2 linked regions of the Daphnia pulex genome follow. The protein of the gene in region 1 interacts with the protein of each later gene in a pairwise test. Links are inferred from orthologs where the notes say so. Each region holds a gene or a part of one and is shown in the gene's direction. Other genes may lie near its edges.

Region 1 (6,755 bases):
ATAATACTTATCACGATTGCTCTCCAAGACGAATTTCGGATTCCAATCGAAAACGTCATCAACTTTGCTCGGGGAATGAAAGAGCTCGAAGCCGTGGTTCACGGCACAATACATATTTTCTACGAATTGGAAAAGAAACAAGGTTTTATTGAGAAAAAAGTAGTTTCCCCATTAAAAGAAACGGTTGAGGGAATTATGAAACAATTGGTAGAACGGGAACAAAAAGGTAATCTGGCCAGCAATATCGATCGGGCTACGGTTGGTCAATTGGTTCTTCTTTTTAACAAACTTGATTATTTGTTAGTTTCCCCTTTTAAATACAACTGATGACGTTGCTGTTGATTTATTAATTTGTGTTTTGTTCTTTTAGTTAGACTGTAATATTCTGTATAGTCATATAAATGAATACAACACGCATACTGCACTGCTTATCAATTTTGAGAGTTGCGCCACATGAGCTTGCTTATGCTATTCGATTCGGACTGAAGTTCAGCTTTTTAAGGGGGTTCATGTTTCTGTGTCAAAGGTCGGACAATATTGCAGGAAATCCAGCGAGAGGAATGATGTAAATCGTCTGAATACGCCTACTACGCATTCCTCCCCTCTCTAGTGAAAACATTAGACCAGTTTAAATTGGTGCGTGTTCGTATTATGGCCGAATCTTTACTAACTCTCTTAATGGCTAACCTCCTACAACTAATCGTGTTTATCTTTTCTTGGACCAGCGATCAGGATTTATTCCATACCAACGCAACCCATGAAGGATTCATAGCGGAAAACAGCCTCATCGACTTGTCAACTCAGTCTCCATTAGCTGTCGTCAGCAATCTATCATCAGCGTAAGTTAATTTACTTTTAAAGCCATTTACTTGCAAAAATAATCGACTGTGATTCGAAATAGATTCGACTGCCTTTCGCCAAATGAAAGGTTTTACATAATTGATGATCAGTTATCGTGTTTCCAGCTGATGACGCAAGGACCCTGCAGTAAATTTTTAACACACATTATTAAATAAAATAATTACAATTTAAATTTATTGCTATTATATTATGTTTTTGTTCGACCTCGAAGAACCTAATCAGCTATTTTATCTGGACTCGGACGACAGCGGCATCTGTGATTGCGAAAACAGTCTGTTCATCTATTCCGCTGAAACTGGCGAATGCTATCAGCAAAACTCCCAGGTTTTTTTTTATTATTATTAATTTTAAAGAGTGCGTAAACAATTTAAAAAATTAACTTTGTCTGTGATTAGGGACCGTGTAAAGATGGAGAATGGTTTACGTTAACCGACGACGGAATACTGTCGTGCGAAACGCTTCCAGACGGATGCCTGGCCGACGGACACTACGTATTTTGGAGCCCCGATTATGAAGGATCGAGTGAAGCAAGTGAAAAACAATGTTGGCTGTTGGGGAGCCAAGGACCTTGTTCCGAAAATGAAACGCTAGAGCGTTACGCCACAAATACCGTCGGATGTCAATTAAGAGCATTTAAGATTGGTAGGAGACCTCATCACGGGGGCAACGAAATTGATGAACGGAATCTGGAAGATAAGGAAGCCGAAAGTAGATCCCCATCAGGTAGATCCGTCGCTGTAGCCGGAATGCGTCCTTGTGGTCCCGGTAGCCGCCGAACGCAGACAGGAAAGTGCCGGCCGAATATCGGTTAAGTCACCTTTTTTTTCAAATAATTGTATTTTGTTCTTCTTTGATGAGATCCGTCCGATACAATTAATTCAGGTAATTTGAATATCGGAAAATAATTTGTTTCGTTATTGGTAATTACTTTTTAAAAATCTTGTTTTAGATCAGCATTCCATGGATAACCAACCCATTTTTAATATTGTCAAAGAAGTCAGAAAAACATAATATCGTTTAATGCATTTAGTCTAAATTTTTCGCTTGTTTCTTCATGTAAAATATTTGACACGATACACAAAAATACTTTAAAAAAATGCTATACATTACATATTCAATTCATCCTGAGTTCCTCATTAAAAGTTATTGATTAGACTTGTGCATCCTAGTAATTGATTCTGAAAGTATTCATTGTGTGAATGGTAAGCATAATTGTGCCAGTGCGTTGTGCATAGACTATCGAGTCCTGTTCGTTAAAAAGCAACGTTTTCTTATCGCTTAGTTAAGTTGCAGCTTATAGTGTCCTTATTGGCTGTCAAATTAAAAAAATGTTATTTAGTCTCAGTGTAACAGTAAAAGAGAGCTCTGTCTGGTGTCTAGTCAGATTCCAGTCCGCCCACACAATATCTGTATATCAAGAACCTCTGTATATCGAGATATCGAAAGTGATAAAAGGGAGTTACATCCTGGACTGGCCAGCAGATTTTGATGCTCGGTGACCCCCAGTACATTGATCTTTGCTGTTCTGAAGGATTCCTGCCTTTCCAGTAGCCAATAGGCCATAAGAGTTCAGACTATTCTCTGTGTGTCTCGCAAGATGATTGTAGACGATTGGAAATATATAGCGGTCTTACGTTGCGGCACGTGTCGTGTCACCCGGTATCTGTCGTCTGACTGATTGTGAAGAAATCGTCAACTCATGACGGAAGGTCGGAAAACGCACCACTGTCTGCCCTTTTCATACTCCTGATCGCTCCTGATCTTGATACCGATGAAGTAGAGACTGTCGCCGAGAGGCCGGTTTTTTTCCTCTGGCTCCTTCAACGCTGAATATTTCGCAATCACAATAACAAGGAATCCAATCCGTCTATACTTATTCCTATTTTTTTGCAACTTGAAAAAAGAATTCAAGTCTCAAATTAGAAACAAGATGCATGATTTAAAAAATTTCTCCGTGAATTCTCAATGACTGAAGGCTTTAGAAATATTTCTATAAATAATTGTGACTTCATTTTCAGGTGTTTTTCTCTGAAACCATCTTATAAGAACAGATGCTGTTTAGAAATGCTAAACGCCCAAACCTTTAAATCACGTCGTCTGCTCTTTTACACTGGTGGTGGTGGACATTTCCTTTTAAAGGTACACCCAAAATACTCGAATTTTTGCGGTTCTATATATTTGTATTTCTCGTTAAGTTGATAGATTCCAATCAAGTAACACACCTGTGAAAATGGCTGGTAATGCACAAAAAGATAAAGCCCAAGGAGGAGATAATATGCAGAAAATAGACTTGACCACTTTGACACTTCCACAGCTGTCTCAGTTAAAGCAGCAACTTGAACAAGTCATTATTTCATTATTTTATTTTATAGAATTATTTATAACTGCTTTCTTTCATTTTTGACTGTATAGGATTTAAGCCTGTACCAAGATTCTCTTCAGACTTTGAAAATTGCACAGACAAAATTTCAAGAATCAGCTGAAAGTGCTGAGAAACTAGAATCTACCCAGGAAGGTGCACCTATACTTGTTCCACTCACAGGATCTGTAAGCTAGATTAAAGTAATTGTACATATGATTTCTTGGTATAAGACCTTATATTTGATAGATGTATGTGCCTGGAAAAATCAGTAAACCAGAACAACCTTTGATTGATATTGGAACCGGTTACTATGCAGAGAATGTAAGTGCTGATAATCTTGTCAAAAGATTGAAATGGTTACTAAGTTTTATTGTTTAATGTTCAGACAATTGAACAAGCTAAGAGTTATTTCAGACGTAAAGTAAAGTTTGTTACTGAACAAATGGAGAAAGTACAGATGCTTGGTATTGAAAAGAGTCAAGTCAGAGATGGTAATTTACTTTGATATTATTTTTAATTTTCTCTATGTACTAAAGATTTTTTTACTGCAGCTGTTGCTGAAGTGATGGATTTGAAAGTACAAGCCCAAGTTGCCGCCAACCCTCAGGCTGCAGTTCGCGCTTAAACAGACCATCCGTACAGTATAATAAATGAATAATAAAATTTCATCATCAACAAATTGACATTTTCATTGCTTTAATTTTTTATTTCGATTCGTAATGAAGCTGCTGAGTCTCAAACAGTTAAACTTGCACTGTTAATAACATGGAGGAGTACAAAAAGGGAGATTTCCAATAGAAAAAACGATTTTGTGCATCGTTGTACCTGCCCGGTCGCAGATAAACTTGATGGCCATTGAACATACGCAACAACAGCGAAGTTAACACACAAAAAGTAGTTAAAAAAAATTGCCAAACCGAACATTGGAAATGGGACAAAAAAATTTAGGAATTCAGGTCTACACGGGGACTAGACAGCACATTTTTTCGCCTTGACAGAAAAAAATTATCAATTGTTACACTTTAAATTTCTCACTTTTGAAGCGGTGCAACATTAGTCCAGACCAGCGGATTTAGTCTATGTCAGAGCTTTTAACTAGAAGGTTGAGCATTATTAGCATTAGATATTTCGTCAGAAGAGGATTGATACACTTCCAACATCATGTTGCGCACTCGCTCCATTAACTCAGGTAAATCTTCCATTGTCATGCCTTTAGTAGACACTGGTGGTAATACGGTCATTACAATTTCACCTGGGTCAAACCGCTTTTGTTTGTGATCAAGAAAGTAGTAGTACGAGTAAACGACAGGACTAATAGGCAGCTGCGCATTGATGGCAATGTAGAAAGCACCTTTTTTAAATGGGAGCATGTCTCTTTTCCCGCTATTACGCGTTCCTTCTGGAAAGATCCATAACTTCAACTAAATAAAGCGCAAAACAATTCTTGAAATGCTACTCAGATTAATTAAAGAATTAAAATCAGAAGAAACTTACTTTTTTCTGCTTCACTTGCTCAGCTGCCTCATTCATTGTAGCGTGAGAATCGTGTGCTTTGTTTCTTTTTATGAAAATGGTTCCACAAAGACCTGCTACATAGCCAAATGGACCAATGTAATTTACCTCCTTCTTTGCAATAGCTGCACAACGCTCCATAGTGGGCCAATGAGTTATCATCCCTGATGTTGAGAATGAATTCATTGGAGTAAAAGCAATGTATAATTAAAAATAACTATATTACCAAGGAAATCAAGGCAACTTTGATGGTTTGCACAAATAATTGAACCATCATTCACAAAATTTTCTGGGTTCCGTAGGTGCACTTTCATTCCAAGAAGAGCATTTAAGAGGGGTCCAAGGAAATAAGCAACAAGTCTGTAAAATGAAAATGATGTTAGGTGCCATCTTTTTTAATTGAAATATTTAAAGTGCTTTACACTGTGTTATGAACATTGCCAGGCCTGAACATGGCAATAGGGATTAGGAACACAGCAGTTAGCATGACTATGGAAATGTAGAGGGTAAATCGAAAGTAGTATCTGAACCATGACTGTGTTTCATAAGTGATGGCTAGAACCACTAAGGAAACCAAAAGTACATCCCAACTGAAGAACATTTTCCTGATAATGTGCGGAAATTGTCGATAAGACAGAAGCGTCGAACCACGATAGAAAGGAATATCACGCCACTAGCAGGATGAAAAAGCCCGCCAGTCCCCTGTCAATGCAGGGGAAAAGTTGCACGCTATATACTCAAAGTCTCAATCACGAATGAAAGTAAACAGATCTCAAATGACTCGACCCGGAAGAATCTTGTTTCCGAAGGGAAAAAATCAGAAAAAAAAAATCTGTACGAAGACGACAACGGGAGGAGTAGTTAACAACCCCAACGAGTTTTTTTTTTCGTCTGCCTCAGACGTCATATATAACCGTAACCATACCAACCACATAAAACTTCCTTCCCACAAAATCAGTTCTTCACGCCATCTATGAAACCACAAGTCAATGATAGATTGTTCTATTTTGTTTTAAAAAGGCTTGCAAAAATGCTCGCAAAAATGCATTTCAATGGTTATCCAAATGTCCATACAAGTTGTCGTGATGTTTGCCAGTTTGTTGGCAAAACATAGTCGAAAACTTTCGGTCCTTTTATAGCTCTCAACTTTAGTGGGCCACTGGAGCGGTGCGACTATGACAAAGTTTTGTCAACCTGCGTTTGATCGTTTGCCGAAGGTTACAAATTCACGCATTGCTGTAAGCTTATTTTATTTGAGAAAATCTTGGAGAAACTAAACCACAAAATCCTTGAAAAGATATCCGTAATGGTCAATAGTGGTTTTGGACGTTTGAGTTCCATTCAACAACCGTGTTTTAAGGCATACATTGACTTACCAGCTTTTTTTTACTCTCGAAATACGACGAGTGATCCGGCGGCAACCGTAACCCCTTTAGCGGGAAAACAACCGACCTCGAAACCGTTCAGGCCCATACATAGAGAGGACGAGGTTCATTTTGTATCCAGATAAATAGAAAACAGGGCCAAGGTGTTAACATGTAAACAAACATCTGCATTTGAATTTCTCTAGTAAGCTTCGAAATCGAAAAAAGCGGTTCTATCTAATCACGTATGAATTTATTTAATTAGCAGTTGGTTAACAAAAACCAAATTTCATTGATAGTCCTAATTGAAACGGATGTCCTGGTCTATTTGCATGTTTGAACGGATGCACACGATAAGACAGGCGCACACAAATGCAACAAATTTTGTTATTCAATAATTTTGTGGTTGCTGTGAGAGGCGACATTATATTGTATACGCGCGTTGCAAACTGTGAACGCTAATGTTTACGTCAACTGACGTCAACTCAAACAGAAATTTGAGAACGAGAATGTATCAAACTATAACCCATCTCATCTTACTCGCGTGATGCTGAAGAATTATCATGCCCACTAAAAAGCCTTATTTTTAAATTACCGCAAAATTCCATTCTTATTTCTTAAATTGCAATTCAGCGATTTTATCGGTGAAAAACATT
Region 2 (6,489 bases), on another chromosome or scaffold:
GAAGCCCCGAAGTACTACGCTGAGCCGACTTACTACACCACCACAACTGCTGCTCCAGTTTACTACACCGAGTCACCAAAGTACTACACTGAGCCGATTTACTACACCACTACTACTGCTGCCCCAGTTTACTACACCAAAGCCCCGAAGTACTACACTGAGCCGACTTACTACACCACCACAACTGCTGCTCCAGTTTACTACACCGAGGCGCCAAAGTACTACACTGAGCCAACTTACTACGCCACCACAACTGCTGCTCCAGTTTACTACACCGAGGCACCAAAGTACTACGCTGAGCCAACTTACTACACCACAACTACTGCTGCACCAGTTTACTACACCGAGGCCCCGAAGTATTACGCTGAGCCGACTTACTACACCACTACTACTGCTGCCCCAGTTTACTACACCGAGGCCCCCAAATACTACGCTGAGCCAACTTACTACACCACCACAGCTGCCGCTCCGGTTTATTACACCGCAGCCCCGAAGTACTACTCTGAGCCAACCTACTAAACCACAACCACGTCTGCTCCTTCATATATATTACTAAGCTTTGTCCTTTCTCAGTTGTGCTTTGAAGCATATTCTGTTTTTTCTCAACTATTTGAAGTATTCTTCGTAAAATCTATTGTTTGAATGTTTAATATTTATCTGGTGTTGTACCTACCGCGTAGTTTATTGTGCTATAATAAAATGGATTCTCACTCATAATTTATTACAAATCTAATCATTACTGCCAGTTAGAAAGGGATTCACGACTGATGCTCTATTGAAAATCTAGTTTTTTTATTCATTGTAGTTAACTTGACGGGTAATTTTCAATTAGGGATTTTCTTGAACTCATTCAATGAATAAAACTTACTTTCGTCGTTAGCAGCTAATTTTAGATGCTTAAAAAATAAATGTCATTTTAAAATAATTAAATAAATTTCAATTGTGAATTTTTTCTATAGTGGATAATTCAAATTCTTATTAAAATTACATCCTTTAACATTTACTAGGATGATGTAACTGGAAACAGAATAGAGAAAGAATTGGATGTAAAGGATGACTGGCGAACTTAGTACAAATTTGCATAATATTTGATGTAATAATGTGAATGATAAACTTAGCCATTAATAACTTACGTGCGAGCAGCATTTATGAAAAGTATTTATTGTATTACATAAATGAGAGAAGAGATAAAGGCAATCGGGAATCAAAGTTACAAATTGAAAATTTTACTTTAAAAATGTATGGTTCCATTAAATATCAAAGTTTATGCTTTGTTGGGTTGCATTATCTGGAAAGTCGGTAACCTGATGAAATACACACGTAATGTGTCACAAATATATTTGAGGACGAGTGTTAAAATGAAATAAAAAAAAAATCATACCTGGATCGAACTTCGTCTGAAAGGTGCTGTAGAATCCAGCTATGTTCAAGTAATTTTCGTAGAGGGATACGATCTTCTGCTCGTGGTTTGAGTAATTTAGCAATCAAGTCTTTCGCTCCAGTAGAGAGATGTGCTGGAAATTTCAAGTCAACTCTACAATACGAATTTATGGCATGGAAAATGTAAACGCTTAGAATGCCTCTTAACCACATTGGCAAATTATGCGATAAAATTAATACTTGCAAATACGGCGGTAAGTGAGATCTTGCTTTTCCTCTTCAAAAGGAGGTGATCCCACTAAGAATTCGTAGCAAAGAATACCAAGAGTCCACAAATCTACACGTTCGTCGTGAGAGCGCCCTTCTACCATTTCGGGGGCTAAATAATCCAATGTCCCGCACATGGTTGTACGCCTATTGAACAAAAACAATATAACATAAATAACTTCGATTTGTTTGGTTCTACACTAAACAATCATATTTTACTTTACCTAGACGAAGGAGCATGGACGGACCAACCAAAATCGGCTATTTTAATTTCTCCATGAAATCCTAGTAAAAGATTTTCTGGCTTAATATCTCGGTGGATTACTTTCCGCGCGTGACAGTATATCAATGCATCAGCTAGCTGAGCCATGTAATTGGCCGTCCTAAAAATAGGGGTAAATTATTTTCCACAGAACTTATGTTTCTGTTATTTTAAAAAATTTACTGTGGTTCAGAAAAACGGCCATTGGGTTGGCGTTTCAGGTACTTGTACATTTCTCCATTTGCGGCGAATTCCAAGATGAGGTAAATACGAGTTTCATCATAAAAATATCCGTGCATGCGTAAAACATTGGGATGTCTACAGTAGAGTCGCAGAAAAGGTTGATGTGCATTAGTGATATAAATTTTCCATAAAACATGTGATCTCATTAGTATGTACCGTAAATGTGACTGGATTTCAATTTCACGTCTCAACTGGTGTTCCATCTGACATTTTTGTAGTTGAGATTTAAACAAAACCTTCAGGGCTACAATGTATTTGGTATTGATTTCTCTAGCCAAGTACACATTTCCAAACTTCCCTTTACCAAGAGGACGGCCAATTTCGAAGTTATCAAGACTCCATCTGGGTTGAAACAAACAAGCAGAGAAACACACATGATTTGGAAGATTAATGCCACAATTAAAATATTTAAGTCAAGAAGATAAATGAGAAACACTTTGTTGGATTCTGAAAAACAAAAAATTCTAACATACTTTGAGTTTTCCAACTTAACAGTAGGTTGGTTTGAAGAGTTCTCTTTAAGTGGCTGCTTGGTTTCCATGTTATCTGTCAATTTCAAAATCAAAACATGAAACATTTACAAAAACACGAAGTTCAAACTTACTTATTCACTTACATTTTCGTAAAAAACGTTTAGATTGGTCTAAATTTTCAAAATGTGTTGTAATTGTATATACCTGTATACCAATGTCTAAACTTCTAAACTCTAAAACCCTAAACCGTGGTCTACTACGGTGCTGCTGCTACTGGACGGTTTTGGACAAATGGGAAAATATTCAAACGGCAGAACAACCGGCGTTGCCGGTATGATGGTATTATGGAAATATTTTCGCCTCCTCCGTTTGTCGTTTTTCTCAGATTTTCTATAGACTTCGTCTTCGTGTCTAAGACTAATTTATTATTAAATTATTTCATTATCATTAAGACGATTATTGTTCTCGGTGCTCTGCAATCTGCAAATAGGCCTAAGTCAATTTCGACAATCGTCGATCGTCGACTTCGCTACATTCTACCGCTAGTCTCAAATAGGAACTAGGAGGGTAGGAAGTAGAATAGCCTGAAGTTTGTCTGCTGCTTAGTGCTTTTGATACGTAAAAAATGGCGACTGACGGAAGCAAAAAGCAAGCTAAAAATGCTCCGAAAAATGTTAGCAAATCGAATGAAGAAGTCATCCAAGGATTTCAAAGATTACGAACTGAACAGAGACAACTAGCTAGTAAATTATCTGAGCTCGAAATGGATCTAAACGAGCACAAGTAAGTTTTACCGGTTTCACTTTATAAACAGACTTCCATAGCGTGTAGAGGATAATTTACTCCTACTATTAACTATGTCATATTTTTTTTCTTACTCAGACTAGTAATAGAAACCCTTCAAAATGTGGATGAAGACAGGAAGTGCTTTCGCATGGTTGGTGGAGTACTAGTTGAACGAACTGTCAAAGAAGTTCTGCCTGCACTGACATCAAACAGGGACCAGGTAACTTGTTTTCATATTGTATTATTTGGTTGTAATTTTAATTACAATTTATTTTTTATATAGATGACTAAAGTAATTGAAGTTCTCAATAATCAAATTTCCACCAAGGGACAAGAAATTAATGACTTCAAGGAAAAGAATAATATCAGGATACGAAATCAAAATGAACTCCCATCTACAGCTCCTGATAATGAAGGAGAAAATAAAGTTGCCAATCAGGGGGTTTTGGTGGGCACCAAACCTTAACTGATATACCTTGTTTTGTATGCTCTGCTGCTGAAGAAAAATCAGAAAACATATGTTTTGCTTTTGCTTATTTTTATGAATCTAATACTTTCATCTGCTCTACTATCCTAATGGAAGGTTAGAGTACTAAACAATCTGTGTGATTTACCAAGAAAGCTTTTAAGAAGCTTAGCTATTCTAACTTTTGATGTATTTATGAATTACTAGCAGGAATTATTCTATTAGATTTCTATTGAATGCACAATAACTTAGTTTATCTCTGGTTTCTCCGAAGAGCGACAACGCTATAAAATCATATGGATTTGAGATCACACCGGATTTTAAACCAATAATTTTTGCTGCTGCGAACTGTTTAGTTTGTGTGTAATATTTGAAAAGTCAAAAGTGTTCCCCACAAAATTGCTTTGGCGCAGTTCTCCGTAAAATTTGTTTTACAGATAAGTAAACAATGGTGATCAAAATATTTAATTTATTTTCTAGGTGAAAAGTTGGTCTAGACAGTCTACTTATGCAGTATACACCAAAACGATTCGACGACGATGTGTGGGAATTGGTCTCGATGTCAGGTTAAATTCTCATCGTAAGTTTGCTCTCTTTCTTTGTCTGCTCGCGGCTTACTATCTAAATAGATTAAGCCAGCCAACCAAGGATTTTATTATTATTTTTTTTTTTACCGGGACTTTCTTAAAGAAACTGAATTAGTGAACAAGACAACTTCTTACAGTCATCGTTTCTTTTAGAGTGAGCCTATCCTCTCTGCGAATAGCACTAAGGATGAGAATGATTTCTGTAACTTCAAAACACATCTTCATAAAACGTTCGTAGTAAATTTAAACTTAAATCCAAGTGATAATTATATCCACTAGAAATTGTGTGTTGATTTGTGTCTCGTATTTAACTGTTTAAAATATCAAGTAATTTTTAAAAAATAATTCGTGTTCCCAAATTCTGTGGAATTATTCAAATTTTGATGGTCTTCTACTTTCCCTACTTGCTAGTTGCTTGCCAATCGTGAATCTCCGTCTATAAGTTGTAAAAAGCAACGATGGAATTTGTAGCAGTCAACTATCAGGGCAATAGGAGGAGGGGAAACAATCGTAGCTGAATTGGGCATGAGCATGTCGCTATTCCTTTGATTTCCTCCAATTGGTACGCAATAATATTTTGAAGAACAGAAACATTTGTGAGGAAACTGGTCTTAGCCGGTCTGAGCACTTCACATTTGAAGTTGTTACGGACAAATCAATATCCTTGGTTACTAGAAAACAAGTACGTGAACAAGTTGTTTCGGTAGATTATGCCACAAAATCTGAACCTTTGTATAAACTAACGGCACTTCAGTATTGTTTGGAAAAGGAGGTAAGTTGTGTTGCTAAACGACATAGCGCAAAGAGGATTTTATTTTGATAGATATTGTTTCTGCTGTTTATTTCAGATGTTAACATATGCCAATTTAATGTTAAAAACTGTTGATTAAATGAAATAATGTTTGCCTTTTGAAATTTGATTATTTTCTAGACAAATCAACAAAAATATTGTTGTCAGTTGTGTAAGGGACCAAAGACATTGTAACTTGAATAGCCTCATTTCCATCAGGATACACCATTGTTCCAACATCTGTTACAAAGAACTGCGCATCTTGGGAAATAAGGTACTCTTCGTCTTCTGGGACAGTGCTGTATGGTGCAATGTGATTAGCGTGTTTAGTTCCTTGGATTACAAATATCGTCCCTTGTCCCGTAGAGGAGTTAGCATATTTTTGAGCTATTTCCAAATTTTTACTTGATGACAAAAATCGATTGAAGCGAATGTATTGATTCACTTCGGCCGGAACTGTGTAATTCACCCCTCTGTAAAGTTCGAAGTCATAATCTTGACACGCCAGCAAGAGAAGTCCGTAAAATCCCTTGTAGTAATATGTATAGTAATTTGAATCATCCCGAAATGCGCTTGTTTCGTCATTAAACGCAATGTACAGATATTCAGGTTCAGACATCGAGTATGCATAGGCAGCCAATTGCTCCTGTAAACAATGATCAGTTTTTTTTTGTTGTTAATTTTAAATTTGTAGTGCGAAACTTACTGAATTGTAGGTAGGATTGGTTGACACAGCGATATCCCAAGTAATTTTCAATTTTGAATTGTTAAGCATATCATCTTCTAGCATTATCTCTGCCCTCTCGGTGGGAGGCACTGTCGGGTCTACTTCATAAATATCATAAGTGACATTCAGGTATAATCTAGGTTGCAGTTTGAAAGGTTCGAAAGATCTTTCGACGCCGTATGAATCTATCGTAAATGGCACACCATAGCGCGTGATACCGCCATTTACGCTTATATTAGGTAATCTGTGCAAAATATCGTAAGAACCAATACAATTTTTTAAAAAGTTTGCATAATCAATTTATCATAAATGAATTGCGCAACTAGTTTAAAGAGAGAAAAATTGTAATAAGACATGTGGTATGAAAAAAGAAACAAATCAAATTGCTTTAATGAAGTTGTAATACATTCACATTTTTCTCACATGTTTAAGAAAATAGTAGCAACGAAGGTTCCTATGAACAACGCAAATCTGTTTTTTGAAGCCATCGCGCGGAAAAGGGTGAACT

What was found.
Region 2: the proteins of prefoldin subunit 5-like (region 1) and prefoldin subunit 2-like interact in binary tests that used the Homo sapiens proteins (3 or more experiments, as listed by UniProt). The link is inferred for Daphnia pulex from reciprocal best matches to the Homo sapiens genes PFDN5 and PFDN2.

Annotation. Positions count from the first base shown.
Region 1 is NC_060023.1:2,198,828-2,205,582, forward strand, and holds prefoldin subunit 5-like, read left to right. Parts: upstream 1-2,850; 5' UTR 2,851-3,000; intron 3,001-3,056; 5' UTR 3,057-3,091; coding exon 3,092-3,205; intron 3,206-3,273; coding exon 3,274-3,408; intron 3,409-3,469; coding exon 3,470-3,544; intron 3,545-3,608; coding exon 3,609-3,714; intron 3,715-3,774; coding exon 3,775-3,848; 3' UTR 3,849-3,902; downstream 3,903-6,755. Other genes in the region: uncharacterized protein LOC124197339, read left to right, coding at 1-327; 1-acyl-sn-glycerol-3-phosphate acyltransferase alpha-like, read right to left, coding at 4,315-4,644, 4,718-4,899, 4,962-5,095, 5,158-5,336. UniProt on the Homo sapiens protein: Binds specifically to cytosolic chaperonin (c-CPN) and transfers target proteins to it. Binds to nascent polypeptide chain and promotes folding in an environment in which there are many competing pathways for nonnative proteins.
Region 2 is NC_060024.1:9,269,806-9,276,294, reverse strand, and holds prefoldin subunit 2-like, read left to right. Parts: upstream 1-3,163; 5' UTR 3,164-3,250; coding exon 3,251-3,408; intron 3,409-3,507; coding exon 3,508-3,631; intron 3,632-3,694; coding exon 3,695-3,877; 3' UTR 3,878-3,930; downstream 3,931-6,489. Other genes in the region: uncharacterized protein LOC124200621, read left to right, coding at 1,008-1,017; aurora kinase-like, read right to left, coding at 1,265-1,304, 1,382-1,534, 1,621-1,794, 1,872-2,030, 2,093-2,227, 2,309-2,494, 2,626-2,693; uncharacterized protein LOC124199325, read right to left, coding at 5,385-5,900, 5,961-6,225, 6,405-6,469. UniProt on the Homo sapiens protein: Binds specifically to cytosolic chaperonin (c-CPN) and transfers target proteins to it. Binds to nascent polypeptide chain and promotes folding in an environment in which there are many competing pathways for nonnative proteins.